3 linked regions of the Saccharomyces cerevisiae S288C genome follow. Changing the gene in region 1 together with any one later gene gives a genetic interaction. Each region holds a gene or a part of one and is shown in the gene's direction. Other genes may lie near its edges.

Region 1 (4,482 bases):
TTGGGAAGTCAACAATAACTATTTCCACGACTCAGGTATTGTTAAATTCTTTTATGGTGATTCTTTCTTCTCCTTTTTGATTTCTTTTTTCGTTTACTGGGGGCTATGTGTCTTCTTCCCATTCAAAATTACTGTTAGACATGATGACAAAGATTACTATGGTGCATTTACCGACGAAGAAGCGAGAAAGAAGGGCATGATTCCATACAGTGAAATTTCTGAGGAAGAAATCCGTGCTTACACGTTAGGCGAATGCTACACAACTGGACACGAATACAAACCTGAGAGTTCTGATAACGAATCACCTGAATTGATCAAAACTAGCTCAGAAAACACTAACGTATTTGAAATCGTTCACCAAAAGGATGATGAAAAGCACTCCTTTAGTACCACTCAACAAGTTGTCTGATGACAAAGAATCCGATAAAATGAAGATCTCAAATATACAAAGAGGAAACTTCAACGCTTCATTTGAAAATCTGTACAGATCTTACAATTTGGGAATACTACCAGATCGATCCTCAGCTGCAAATACTTTACTGTCAAGTATGTCTATGGTGACAAATATCGGCATTATTGTGTATGGCTCAATAATTTTATAAAAAAAGGAACTATTGGTTCTTAGTATTTTCTTGCTAGAAGACATATTCTTACCAATCCTTTCATAAGCTAATTATGCCATCCATATAGCAAGAGAATCCGGTGGGGGCGCCATGCCTATCCGGCGGCAACATTATTACTCTGGTATACGGGCGTAACTCCATAATATGCCACCACTTACCTTTAACATGTTCATGGTAGGTACCCCACCCAGCCATAAGGAAATTTTCAAAGGCGTTGGATCAAAAAATAGGCCTTTATTTCATCGCGTGATTGAGGAGCATAACATGTTTAGTGAAGGTTTCTTTTGGAAAACTTCAGTCGCTCATTATTAGAACCAGGGAGGTCCAGGCTTTGCTGGTGGGAGAGAAAGCTTATGAAGCTGGGGTTGCAGATTTGTCGATTGGTCGCCAGTACACAGTTTTAAAAAGTCAGAGAATGTAGAGAAGTATGGATCTTTGAAACCCTTTTATTTTATTTTACTTTTTTTAGAATGACCTGTTCCCGACACTATGTAAGATCTAGCTTTTAACATATTATGGAAACCTGAAATGTAAAATCTGAATTTTTGTATATGTGTTTATATTTGGGTAGTTCTTTTGAGGAAAGCATGCATAGACTTGCTGTACGAACTTTATGTGACTTGTAGTGACGCTGTTTCATGAGACTTTAGCCCTTTGAACATATTATCATATCTCAGCTTGAAATACTATAGATTTACTTTTGCAGCCATTTCTTGGTGCTCCAAGGTTGTGCGTATCTATTACTTAATTTCTGTCCTTGCCAAGTTTTGCAGCAGGGCGGTCACAAGACTCCTCTGCCGTCATTCCTTAGTCCTTCGGGAACACACTTATTTATGTATTTGTATTCTACAATTCTACGGTGCACAAGGGTTGGGCACTGTTGAGCTCAGCACGCAACTATTGCTGGCATGAAGATAAGATTGATTTTTGGAAGAATAAGCTTGTGGAAGTTACCTGTCTCTTATTTTTTTTTCCTTTTTGCACTTTTTTTTGGTGATCACTTAGGTAACAATCTATAACACAGCAGTATGAACCCACTAGTTAACCATTCTGCGCCGATGGTATACCTTTTTCATTGCTTAATTGTCTGTGAGAGGCTTGATAAGCTAAGGCTCATGGCGATAAATCCACGATGAACTCGTTTAATGCAAAATATAGGTCGCGGCTTGCCGGGTACCAAGTCGCAACAAAGCTCCCCGAATTGTTTCGCCCATTCATCTGACAGGACAGAATGCCAAACATATGATGCATGATGCAGCAAAGAGCACAGTAATCACTATTTTCTGCATATCATATAGCCAGATTGCTATAGTGTTTGGCTTTTGTCCTGCTGTTAATTGTTTTGTTTTCTTTCTATTTTTATAACTATTATTGGAGAGTAGATCAAGGATACAAATAACAACAACAACCACCAATACCGACCACTTAATAAAAGTAACCATATAATGGGTGTGAGATCCGCTGCAAAGGAAATGCACGAACGGGACCATAATTCGGACAGTTCCAGTTTAGTAACTTCCCTGATGAAATCTTGGAGGATATCGTCGGCTTCTTCCTCCAAGAAGCCATCGTTATACAAAATGAATACTACTGAATCTACTAGTTTACCCTCGGGTTATGCTTCCTCGGCAGATAGAGATCGGAGAACCAGTGACGGTAATTTTGAAGCTATGGCAAAGCAACAAGCAAGCACTAGACGTACCTCGAATTCCTATTCACCTCTACGATATGTAAACCCCACTCTAAGCACTGCAAGTAACGAAAGTCCCCGGCCTGCTTTACTCTTACGTCAGCATCACCAGCGTCATCACCACCATCAACAACCCCGCCATAGCAGTAGTGGTAGTGTAGGCAACAATTGCAGTAACAGTACAGAGCCTAACAAAAAGGGTGATCGATATTTCAAAGACTTAGATGAGGATTGGAGTGCTGTTATTGACGATTATAATATGCCTATTCCTATACTTACTAACGGTGGATTTGGTACACCTGTAGCTCCAACGAGAACTTTGTCGCGAAAATCCACTTCTTCTTCCATCAATTCGATTTCGAATATGGGGACCTCCGCAGTACGGAATTCTTCCTCCTCTTTTACATACCCTCAATTACCACAGCTGCAAAAAGAGAAAACAAATGATTCCAAGAAAACTCAGTTGGAAATCGAAAACGAACGGGATGTTCAAGAATTAAACTCCATCATCCAGCGCATTTCTAAATTTGACAATATTTTGAAAGATAAGACAATCATAAATCAACAGGATCTGCGCCAGATCAGTTGGAATGGTATCCCAAAAATACACAGGCCTGTTGTTTGGAAATTATTAATAGGTTATTTGCCTGTGAACACCAAGAGACAGGAGGGTTTCTTACAAAGGAAGAGGAAAGAATATAGGGATAGTCTGAAACATACCTTTTCTGACCAGCACTCAAGAGATATCCCAACTTGGCATCAGATAGAGATAGATATACCGAGAACAAATCCCCACATTCCCCTCTACCAGTTCAAATCCGTACAGAACAGTTTACAACGAATACTATATCTTTGGGCAATCAGGCATCCTGCTAGCGGATATGTGCAAGGTATTAATGATTTAGTTACACCATTTTTCGAGACTTTTCTTACCGAATATCTGCCGCCTTCACAAATAGATGATGTAGAGATAAAGGACCCCTCTACTTATATGGTAGATGAACAGATTACAGATTTAGAAGCGGACACGTTTTGGTGTCTTACCAAATTGCTCGAACAAATTACCGATAACTATATTCACGGACAACCAGGCATATTAAGACAAGTGAAGAATTTGAGTCAGCTAGTGAAACGAATTGATGCTGATCTATATAACCATTTTCAAAATGAACATGTGGAGTTTATACAGTTTGCATTCAGATGGATGAATTGCCTTTTGATGAGAGAATTTCAAATGGGTACAGTAATAAGGATGTGGGACACATATTTATCTGAAACTTCACAAGAGGTCACTTCTTCTTATTCTATGTCGTCCAATGACATTAAACCTCCTGTTACTCCAACAGAACCTCGAGTGGCAAGTTTTGTTACACCAACAAAAGATTTCCAATCTCCCACCACAGCTCTTTCTAATATGACACCAAACAATGCTGTTGAAGACAGTGGAAAAATGAGACAGTCTTCGTTGAATGAGTTTCATGTGTTTGTTTGTGCTGCATTCCTCATCAAGTGGAGTGACCAGCTAATGGAAATGGATTTCCAAGAAACTATAACTTTCTTACAGAACCCTCCTACAAAGGACTGGACTGAAACGGATATTGAAATGCTTCTGAGCGAAGCCTTTATTTGGCAATCTCTTTACAAAGATGCTACGTCGCACTGGCTGTAAACGGACCTATTCATTTTACTTACTGTATAGTATGTAATAATATAAAACAAAAATCTCCTAATTCATAAATCCTGAGGAACGTGACACATAAAGTTATTGTATACAGATCATCTAAAGATTGGTTTGGTAGAATGTCTCCCAAAGCTCGATGCATTCTTTTTGAGATTCAATGGCCGCTTCTAGTGATATTTCCATGCCGTTTCGGAATTCCCGAATTTTATCAGTAGAGAAACCTTGGAATTCATCTTTTATTTTATCTCCTACCGCTTGCCATTGTTTTTTTGTAAGGTTATACCTTCTCTCCAATGTTTGAAATTCCTTTCTCATTTCTCTGAATTTTTCTGAATGAATATTTTGACCCAATTTGCCCAATTGTGAGTGTTTCTTATTCATGTCATTTTCTATTACTACCAAGAAATACCCCAATTTGGATCTCTGATTGAAAATTGCTTTTACGCTTGCCAATGACCTAATATAGTCGTCCAGCATCACACCCATCG
Region 2 (3,544 bases), on another chromosome or scaffold:
CTGTCAGTGTGGAGTATCAAGATCGGCGTCATTGATTGTGGCGTATATCATGCGATATTATGGCTTGAGTTTAAATGATGCATACAATAAGCTGAAAGGTGTTGCTAAGGATATAAGTCCAAACATGGGTCTCATCTTCCAACTTATGGAATGGGGAACCATGTTGTCCAAGAACTCACCGGGCGAAGAAGGAGAGACTGTTCACATGCCTGAGGAAGATGACATCGGAAACAACGAAGTTTCCTCGACTACGAAGTCCTACTCTTCTGCGTCCTTTAGAAGTTTTCCCATGGTAACGAATCTATCATCGTCGCCGAATGACAGTTCTGTCAATTCTTCGGAAGTAACGCCAAGAACTCCTGCTACGTTGACTGGAGCAAGGACCGCACTGGCCACAGAACGCGGGGAAGATGATGAGCACTGTAAAAGTTTGTCTCAACCCGCAGATTCACTGGAAGCTTCTGTGGACAACGAATCAATATCTACTGCCCCGGAACAGATGATGTTTCTTCCTTAAGGGACAGCATCTCCCAAAAGAATCTTTATGACTATCAGATCTGCAGGCAGACCGCCTCCCTACGCTTCTAAATAGAATGTACTTAGCACTTCTGCCTACATAGTAATTATTCATCATTGTAAGTGTCACATTGCAAAAATCGTCCAATAGACGTTTTCCTCGTTTGTGATTGGCCCTACGTTTTGCGCCGATACAAGCGGCGGCGAAAAGTTAAAAAGAACAATCAATTAAATAAGAACCATCAGTCCTCGTATTTTGTCTTCTGTTTGCAAGCAATGCACCAAACACAAGATCAACTAAGAACGCATCTACAATGTTACGTAACACTTTTACTAGAGCTGGTGGACTATCACGTATTACATCCGTAAGATTCGCTCAAACACATGCTCTTTCCAACGCTGCTGTAATGGATCTGCAATCCAGATGGGAGAACATGCCCTCCACTGAGCAGCAGGATATTGTCAGTAAGTTGAGTGAACGTCAAAAATTACCATGGGCACAGCTTACTGAGCCTGAAAAGCAAGCTGTGTGGTACATTTCTTACGGAGAATGGGGCCCAAGAAGACCTGTATTGAATAAGGGTGATTCCAGTTTTATTGCCAAAGGTGTTGCTGCAGGCCTACTATTTTCAGTGGGACTTTTTGCTGTCGTCAGGATGGCGGGTGGCCAAGACGCAAAGACCATGAATAAGGAGTGGCAGCTAAAGAGTGACGAATATTTGAAGTCGAAGAATGCTAATCCTTGGGGTGGTTATTCTCAGGTCCAATCTAAATGAACAGGCCAGAAATTTTGAAAGGAAATCAATAGGGGTTAACGATTGTCATGGTTTTTTCAGCTAGTCTGTGACCTGTACGAAAGTGAATATCTTATTACATTATAAGTGTATCCATGGGCATCCGCCCAATACAATGCCAACATATCAAACATAAAATTGGCTGATTGCCACTCTCACATTTTTTCTTTATTTATTTACTCAAATTTTGTAATTTTTTGTTAGACATATAATTTTATATCATTATTCTTATTATTCTTATATTTAAGGGAACCCCCCTGGAATGAAATAAGCTAATATAGTATGAGGGAATCCTGTATAAATGGGTTTACCTTGTTATTCTATGCCTCCCTTTCAAAGACGTATTTCTTAAAAACTTCTCCATTTGGTTGAATACTATGAAAAAAAAAAAATCAACTAGAATAGATATGGAAGATAAAAATGTGTAACAAAAAAGAAGAAAAGAGCTGGAGGTATGACAATAGCGCCAATGGCAAACGATTTAGAAGATTTTGAGTCTCTGCTGGAGCCTGATTTTGATGCTAAACAATTTGGTAATGACTTACTGAAGGCTACTAATAACAATGACACAACCATTTTAGACCTTAACACGCCTCTTAAAAAGCTAAACTATGATCTACATGAGATTGACTCTAGAATAGACCAATTGATGAATAGCAACCCATTGGAGATAATAGAGTTAATTTACAAAAATGAACACGTCAATTCAACCATAGTTGGTGAGTTGAAACCAAGTTTGGGATATATGAATATGTCGTACGATAGACTAAAGAATCAAGTTCTAGATCCTTATGAAAGAGCGAGGAAAGTCCAACTAGCGTTGAGTAAAGTTTACCAAACATCTTTTCTCTTGCGCGGAGCATTGCTTTATATTCATTTATCAAACAAATTAAACGCACTGTCTAAAACAGCCCAACTAAGCACATCAACAGCTATTAATTTAGCCTCCTTACACTACCAACTTGAAATTACTTTGGAAGAAAATAAAAATCTAAAATCCTTGCGGAAAATTAAACAATTAGATCAGGACATTGTTTCCCCCAACAAAAGAGAGTTAATAACATTTTTGTCTTTACAAATGTGTAAAGAGTGCTTGAACTCTATTAAAATCAAATCGAACAAAGAAATAATATCTCAGCTGGCCTACTCCTTATATCTACTTTCATCTCAAGAATTCGAGTCTGCAATAAACAAGATTGTACTATCTAATGTTACAATGAGCTCACAAATCCTATCAAAAATTTTAAATTCTATCAGGATGTTTCCTGATGCGTTCAATGAAGTTGTTGAAAAAGGTTATAACATCTACATTTTAGAAACACTACTACAGAACATCAAAACGGATAATGTTACGAATTCCTCGAGATCTATTGCTGCTAATAAATCACGCCTTGGCAATCTTTTATCAGAATATACCTCAATGAAGAGTAAAGCAGGTTCTGGTACACCGAGAGATCTGTTTTGGAGCAAAGTTTCATCTGCCTTCAAAAAGGACTTTGATATATCTGTTAATAGAGGAGGCCCTGTGGGCAAGTCGCTGTTAAAAAATAAAGATTTTATTATAAACACTATGAAGCAAAGTATGAAAAAATCTTCTGATAATAGTGATTACCAAAGCTACTTGGATGTAATGCTAAACTCAGTATCTATTTCTCTAAATAAGTGAGACAGTTTACATAAAATTAAGAATGTTGATGAAATAGGATGAATCTAAAGCAATTTTCAATAGCATGTGCATATGTTTAATAAAAATTACATGAAATGTAATATTTGTTTATATTATTAAAGATTATACTAGTAATAGTTATTATGAGAAATCCAATATCGGTTAGTTTATATGAAGTATTAATATGTATATATATACATTTACGTGGTCATTCTGTCCTAAACTTAGGGGTACTGCCAGCTTTTGCCAGTGGGTTCAAAGGTACCTTTTTTTTGTTTTTCTTTCCACCACGCTTATGAAACTTTTTCTTCAACTGTTTCTTTATCTCACGAGCTTTGGTATCACGCTCCTTGGTTCTTTCAAGTGCCAGTTTTTTGGCTGCACGTTGCTTTTGACCAGGTCTCCTCTTTTTAATCTTCAATTCCTTCTGCTGCTCTAACTCTATTCTCGCATTGTGCTTATACAGATCTATTATTCGACCCTGGCAATATGGCCATTTATCACGAATACGTAGATCATCCTCCAGAATTTTTGTACTTTCTTGTATTATCACATCATAGTCGATAGA
Region 3 (4,875 bases), on another chromosome or scaffold:
TTATTTGACTAGTAAAGATTGTAAACGCGCTTGGGAAATTTTAAATAGAATTGAAAACTTTCCCGTAAAGATAGAGCAAATAATCCCACCAAATTATAAGGACCATCTTAGAGAAACAGCAAATAAAAATTCTCAAAAGCAGGTATTACAACTTAATAGAGATTCGTACCCCTTCGAGGCGGGTTTGGAGCTACCTTTCGAAATGGTGACAGAAGTCCCCATTCCTAGGCGACCACCGCCACCACAGGCTGCAAATAACACAAACTCTGTATCAAATAACACAAACATTCAATTCCCCGACATACTAAGTAAAGCATCTAAACACTTGCCAAGTTTCCAAGATGGCTCGATTATTGCACCAGACAAAATTTCACAAAATTTAAGTAAAATTCCGCCGTTGCAACTTATTGAAATTATATCAAATTTGAAAATATTATCAAACCAAGAAAACATCCAAAAATCGCAATTAGAATCTTTCTTAGATACTAACAGTGATATCACAATATCAGTGACCCAAGCCCTACTAGAAATGGGATTTATAGACTACAGCGTGGTGACTAAAGTGTTGAAATCCCAAGTTGGCGAGGCCCCATCTTTGCTTTCGAGTAATAACACAAGTAATTCGAACACCCCCGTAAGCGTAATTAGAAATAACACTCCGTTGCATGTACCTTCTAATGAAGTCAGCAACAATCCTAACAATATGCCACTGAACGTAGCTATGCCAATGCCTATGTCGACACCACCATTTATCCCTTTACCTCTGCAACAACAACCGTTCGGTTTTGCGCCACCGGGCCCTTTCATGCCTCCAGCTCAAGGCCCCTCCATGGGACAGCCTGTGTTGGCAAATCAACTCGGCCAGGTCCAGCAACAAAATATAAGTTCTACAGAAGGACCCTCTAACGCGAATAAAGCGAATGACAGCGGCACCATTAATATGGCGAAACTGCAATTACTACCTGAAAACCAACAAGATATGATCAAACAAGTTCTTACTTTGACACCTGCCCAGATCCAAAGTTTACCAAGTGACCAGCAACTTATGGTGGAAAACTTTAGAAAAGAATATATAATCTAAGTAATCAGAGCCATAGCGTATCAGAAAACCACACCTAATTAGATGGTTCTTGCATCTGTACCTCTTATCACTAAAAGCGGCACTAAACTTCCAACATTAAATGTTTGCCTTGTTAAATATATATTTTTGCCTTGGTTTAAATTGGTCAAGACAGTCAATTGCCACACTTTTCTCATGCCGCATTCATTATTCGCGAAGTTTTCCACACAAAACTGTGAAAATGAACGGCGATGCCAGAAACGGCAAAACCTCAAATGTTAGATAACGTGGATCTCCGACACATGTGAATTTATAAGTAGGCATATGAAAATACAGATTCTTTCCACTGTGTTCCCTTTTATTCCCTTCTCATGTGAAGAGTTCACACCAAATCTTCAAAATATAACTAATATAGTAGAGTTTGATTCAAAGGACCTTTTTTTTTGCCTCTTTGATTAGTTTATCTTCTTTTCTTCATTTTATCCCCTAATTTTATACGTTAGTTCAACCTAACAATCCAGGATTTCATTAACAAGAAAGGTAAAAGTAACCTATCAAGGCTATTTTGAAAAAAAAAATTCCGCCCTGAATATTTCGAGTGATTTTCTTAGTGACAAAGCTTTTTCTTCATCTGTAGATGTCCAGTTGTAAAACCACTTTGTCTGAAATGGTTGGTTCTGTGACAAAAGATAGGGGCACTATCAACGTCGAAGCCAGAACACGTTCGAGTAATGTAACTTTCAAACCACCTGTAACCCACGATATGGTGCGTTCGCTTTTCGATCCAACTTTGAAGAAATCTCTGCTGGAAAAATGCATCGCGCTAGCTATTATATCGAATTTTTTCATTTGTTATTGGGTCTTCCAAAGGTTTGGCTTACAGTTTACCAAATACTTTTTTCTGGTACAGTATTTATTTTGGAGAATTGCTTATAATTTAGGTATTGGACTGGTTCTGCATTACCAGTCACATTATGAAACACTAACGAATTGTGCTAAAACTCATGCGATTTTCAGCAAAATACCACAGAATAAAGATGCTAATTCGAATTTCTCAACAAATTCCAATTCCTTTTCAGAAAAATTTTGGAATTTTATTAGGAAGTTCTGTCAATATGAGATTAGGTCTAAAATGCCAAAGGAGTATGATTTATTTGCCTATCCAGAAGAGATCAACGTCTGGTTGATATTTCGCCAGTTTGTCGATTTAATCTTGATGCAAGATTTTGTGACTTACATTATTTACGTTTACCTTTCTATTCCATATAGCTGGGTTCAAATCTTCAACTGGAGATCTTTGCTAGGTGTTATTTTGATTTTATTTAACATCTGGGTCAAGTTAGATGCGCATCGCGTGGTTAAAGATTATGCTTGGTACTGGGGTGATTTCTTCTTTTTGGAAGAATCTGAATTGATTTTTGATGGTGTCTTCAACATCTCTCCACATCCAATGTATTCTATTGGTTATTTGGGTTATTATGGCCTATCATTGATTTGTAATGACTACAAGGTTCTTCTGGTGTCCGTATTTGGACATTATTCTCAATTTTTGTTTCTGAAATACGTCGAAAATCCTCATATTGAAAGAACGTATGGTGATGGCACTGATTCCGATTCTCAAATGAATAGCAGAATTGATGACTTGATATCAAAAGAGAATTACGATTATTCAAGACCTCTAATTAACATGGGTCTTTCTTTTAACAACTTCAATAAGCTAAGATTTACTGACTATTTCACAATTGGTACCGTAGCGGCACTTATGTTAGGAACAATCATGAATGCTAGGTTTATCAATTTAAATTACCTCTTTATTACCGTTTTTGTAACAAAACTGGTTTCATGGTTATTTATCTCGACAATATTGTACAAGCAATCTCAGTCTAAATGGTTCACGAGATTGTTTTTGGAGAATGGTTACACACAAGTTTATTCCTATGAGCAATGGCAATTTATTTACAATTATTATTTGGTATTAACCTACACACTTATGATAATTCATACAGGGCTTCAAATTTGGAGTAATTTTTCCAACATAAACAACAGTCAATTAATTTTTGGTTTAATTCTTGTGGCTTTACAAACATGGTGTGATAAGGAAACGAGACTAGCAATCTCTGATTTTGGTTGGTTTTATGGTGATTTTTTCTTGAGCAACTATATCTCAACTAGAAAGCTGACTTCCCAAGGTATCTACAGATATTTGAATCACCCAGAAGCGGTATTAGGCGTTGTTGGAGTTTGGGGTACTGTATTGATGACGAATTTTGCCGTTACAAATATTATCTTGGCTGTTTTATGGACATTGACAAATTTTATTCTTGTCAAGTTTATTGAAACACCTCATGTTAATAAGATATATGGTAAAACTAAACGAGTTAGTGGTGTTGGAAAAACTTTACTAGGCTTGAAACCTCTAAGACAAGTTTCAGATATTGTCAATAGAATTGAAAATATTATAATCAAATCATTAGTTGATGAAAGCAAGAACTCCAATGGTGGGGCAGAACTTTTGCCCAAAAATTATCAAGATAACAAAGAATGGAATATTTTAATTCAGGAAGCAATGGATAGCGTTGCAACAAGATTGAGTCCATACTGTGAATTGAAAATTGAAAACGAGCAGGTAGAAACCAATTTTGTCTTGCCTACTCCAGTAACTTTGAATTGGAAAATGCCCATTGAACTTTATAACGGAGATGATTGGATTGGTTTGTATAAAGTCATTGATACAAGGGCAGATCGTGAAAAAACAAGAGTTGGATCAGGTGGTCATTGGAGTGCGACTTCTAAAGATTCATATATGAACCATGGATTAAGACATAAAGAATCTGTAACAGAAATAAAGGCGACTGAAAAGTACGTTCAAGGTAAAGTGACATTCGACACGTCTTTGCTTTATTTTGAAAATGGTATCTACGAATTTAGGTATCATTCTGGTAACTCCCATAAGGTGTTATTGATTTCTACACCATTTGAAATTTCATTGCCGGTACTAAATACCACGACACCTGAACTGTTTGAGAAGGATTTGACTGAGTTTTTGACGAAAGTCAACGTTTTGAAGGATGGTAAATTTCGTCCATTAGGAAATAAGTTCTTCGGGATGGACAGCTTGAAACAATTGATTAAGAACTCAATTGGCGTCGAACTTTCGTCTGAGTATATGAGGAGAGTCAATGGTGACGCTCACGTTATTTCGCATCGCGCTTGGGATATAAAACAAACGCTTGATAGTCTTGCTTGAGTTTTTTTTTTTTGAGTATATATATTTAAAAAGTACTAGGATTCAAGTTAACATTTTGAATAGAAGTAGTTATGTTGTTGTAATATAATGGAGCTACCATATATGCAGAATGACATTATAAATTATGATGTTGATGTACAATGCCTTTGTGCGCTTCTTTTACCATGAATTTTTTCTTAACCTCTTTCACTTTTCTTTCCGACTAGGATAATCTCGTGTCTAAGTTTCCTGGTTCATTAAACAGCTTATCATTAAATCTCTATAACGGTTATATTGCTCCTTGCAACGATCAAGGCATTCCAAAAGATCTTCATCGTCACCATCATCCTTCCAAAAACCTACAATTTCCTCTCCATTTTTGATGAATGATACGACAGTGCCATTGGCCTCACCGGCACCTGCCATATCCACTAATTCGATGCCGGCATCAGCTAAGGCTAGCGTTATACTAGTGATACAATGTGGTATGAGAGATGATATTTGAGAAGACATCATTTTGCTTTGCGAATCGTCGTCCTGAGGATTATTTGTAAGATCCTTATCATACGTTAAATAAACGAAGATATCG

What was found. A genetic interaction does not mean that the proteins touch.
Region 2: mutations in GYP1 (region 1) and COG5 together harm fitness more than expected from each alone (negative genetic interaction), as found in Saccharomyces cerevisiae (7 studies listed by BioGRID, with this or other methods).
Region 3: mutations in GYP1 (region 1) and CHO2 together harm fitness more than expected from each alone (negative genetic interaction), as found in Saccharomyces cerevisiae (7 studies listed by BioGRID, with this or other methods).

The regions. Positions count from the first base shown.
Region 1 is NC_001147.6:455,407-459,888, reverse strand, and holds GYP1 (GTPase-activating protein GYP1), read left to right. Parts: upstream 1-2,068; coding exon 2,069-3,982; downstream 3,983-4,482. Other genes in the region: NRT1 (nicotinamide riboside transporter), read left to right, coding at 1-409; VPS5 (sorting nexin 1), read right to left, coding at 4,094-4,482. UniProt on the Saccharomyces cerevisiae protein: GTPase-activating protein (GAP) that stimulates specifically the intrinsic GTPase activity of Ypt/Rab-type GTPases YPT1 and YPT7. Functions on the Golgi as a negative regulator of YPT1. Functions on the vacuole as a negative regulator of YPT7.
Region 2 is NC_001146.8:530,895-534,438, forward strand, and holds COG5 (Golgi transport complex subunit COG5), read left to right. Parts: upstream 1-1,764; coding exon 1,765-2,976; downstream 2,977-3,544. Other genes in the region: tyrosine/serine/threonine protein phosphatase MSG5, read left to right, coding at 1-517; COX5A (cytochrome c oxidase subunit Va), read left to right, coding at 831-1,292; YNL050C (uncharacterized protein), read right to left, coding at 3,185-3,544. UniProt on the Saccharomyces cerevisiae protein: Acts as a component of the peripheral membrane COG complex that is involved in intra-Golgi protein trafficking.
Region 3 is NC_001139.9:800,743-805,617, forward strand, and holds CHO2 (phosphatidylethanolamine N-methyltransferase), read left to right. Parts: upstream 1-1,697; coding exon 1,698-4,307; downstream 4,308-4,875. Other genes in the region: cleavage polyadenylation factor subunit PTI1, read left to right, coding at 1-1,081; exosome non-catalytic core subunit MTR3, read right to left, coding at 4,527-4,875. UniProt on the Saccharomyces cerevisiae protein: Catalyzes the first step of the methylation pathway of phosphatidylcholine biosynthesis, the SAM-dependent methylation of phosphatidylethanolamine (PE) to phosphatidylmonomethylethanolamine (PMME). Preferentially converts di-C16:1 substrates.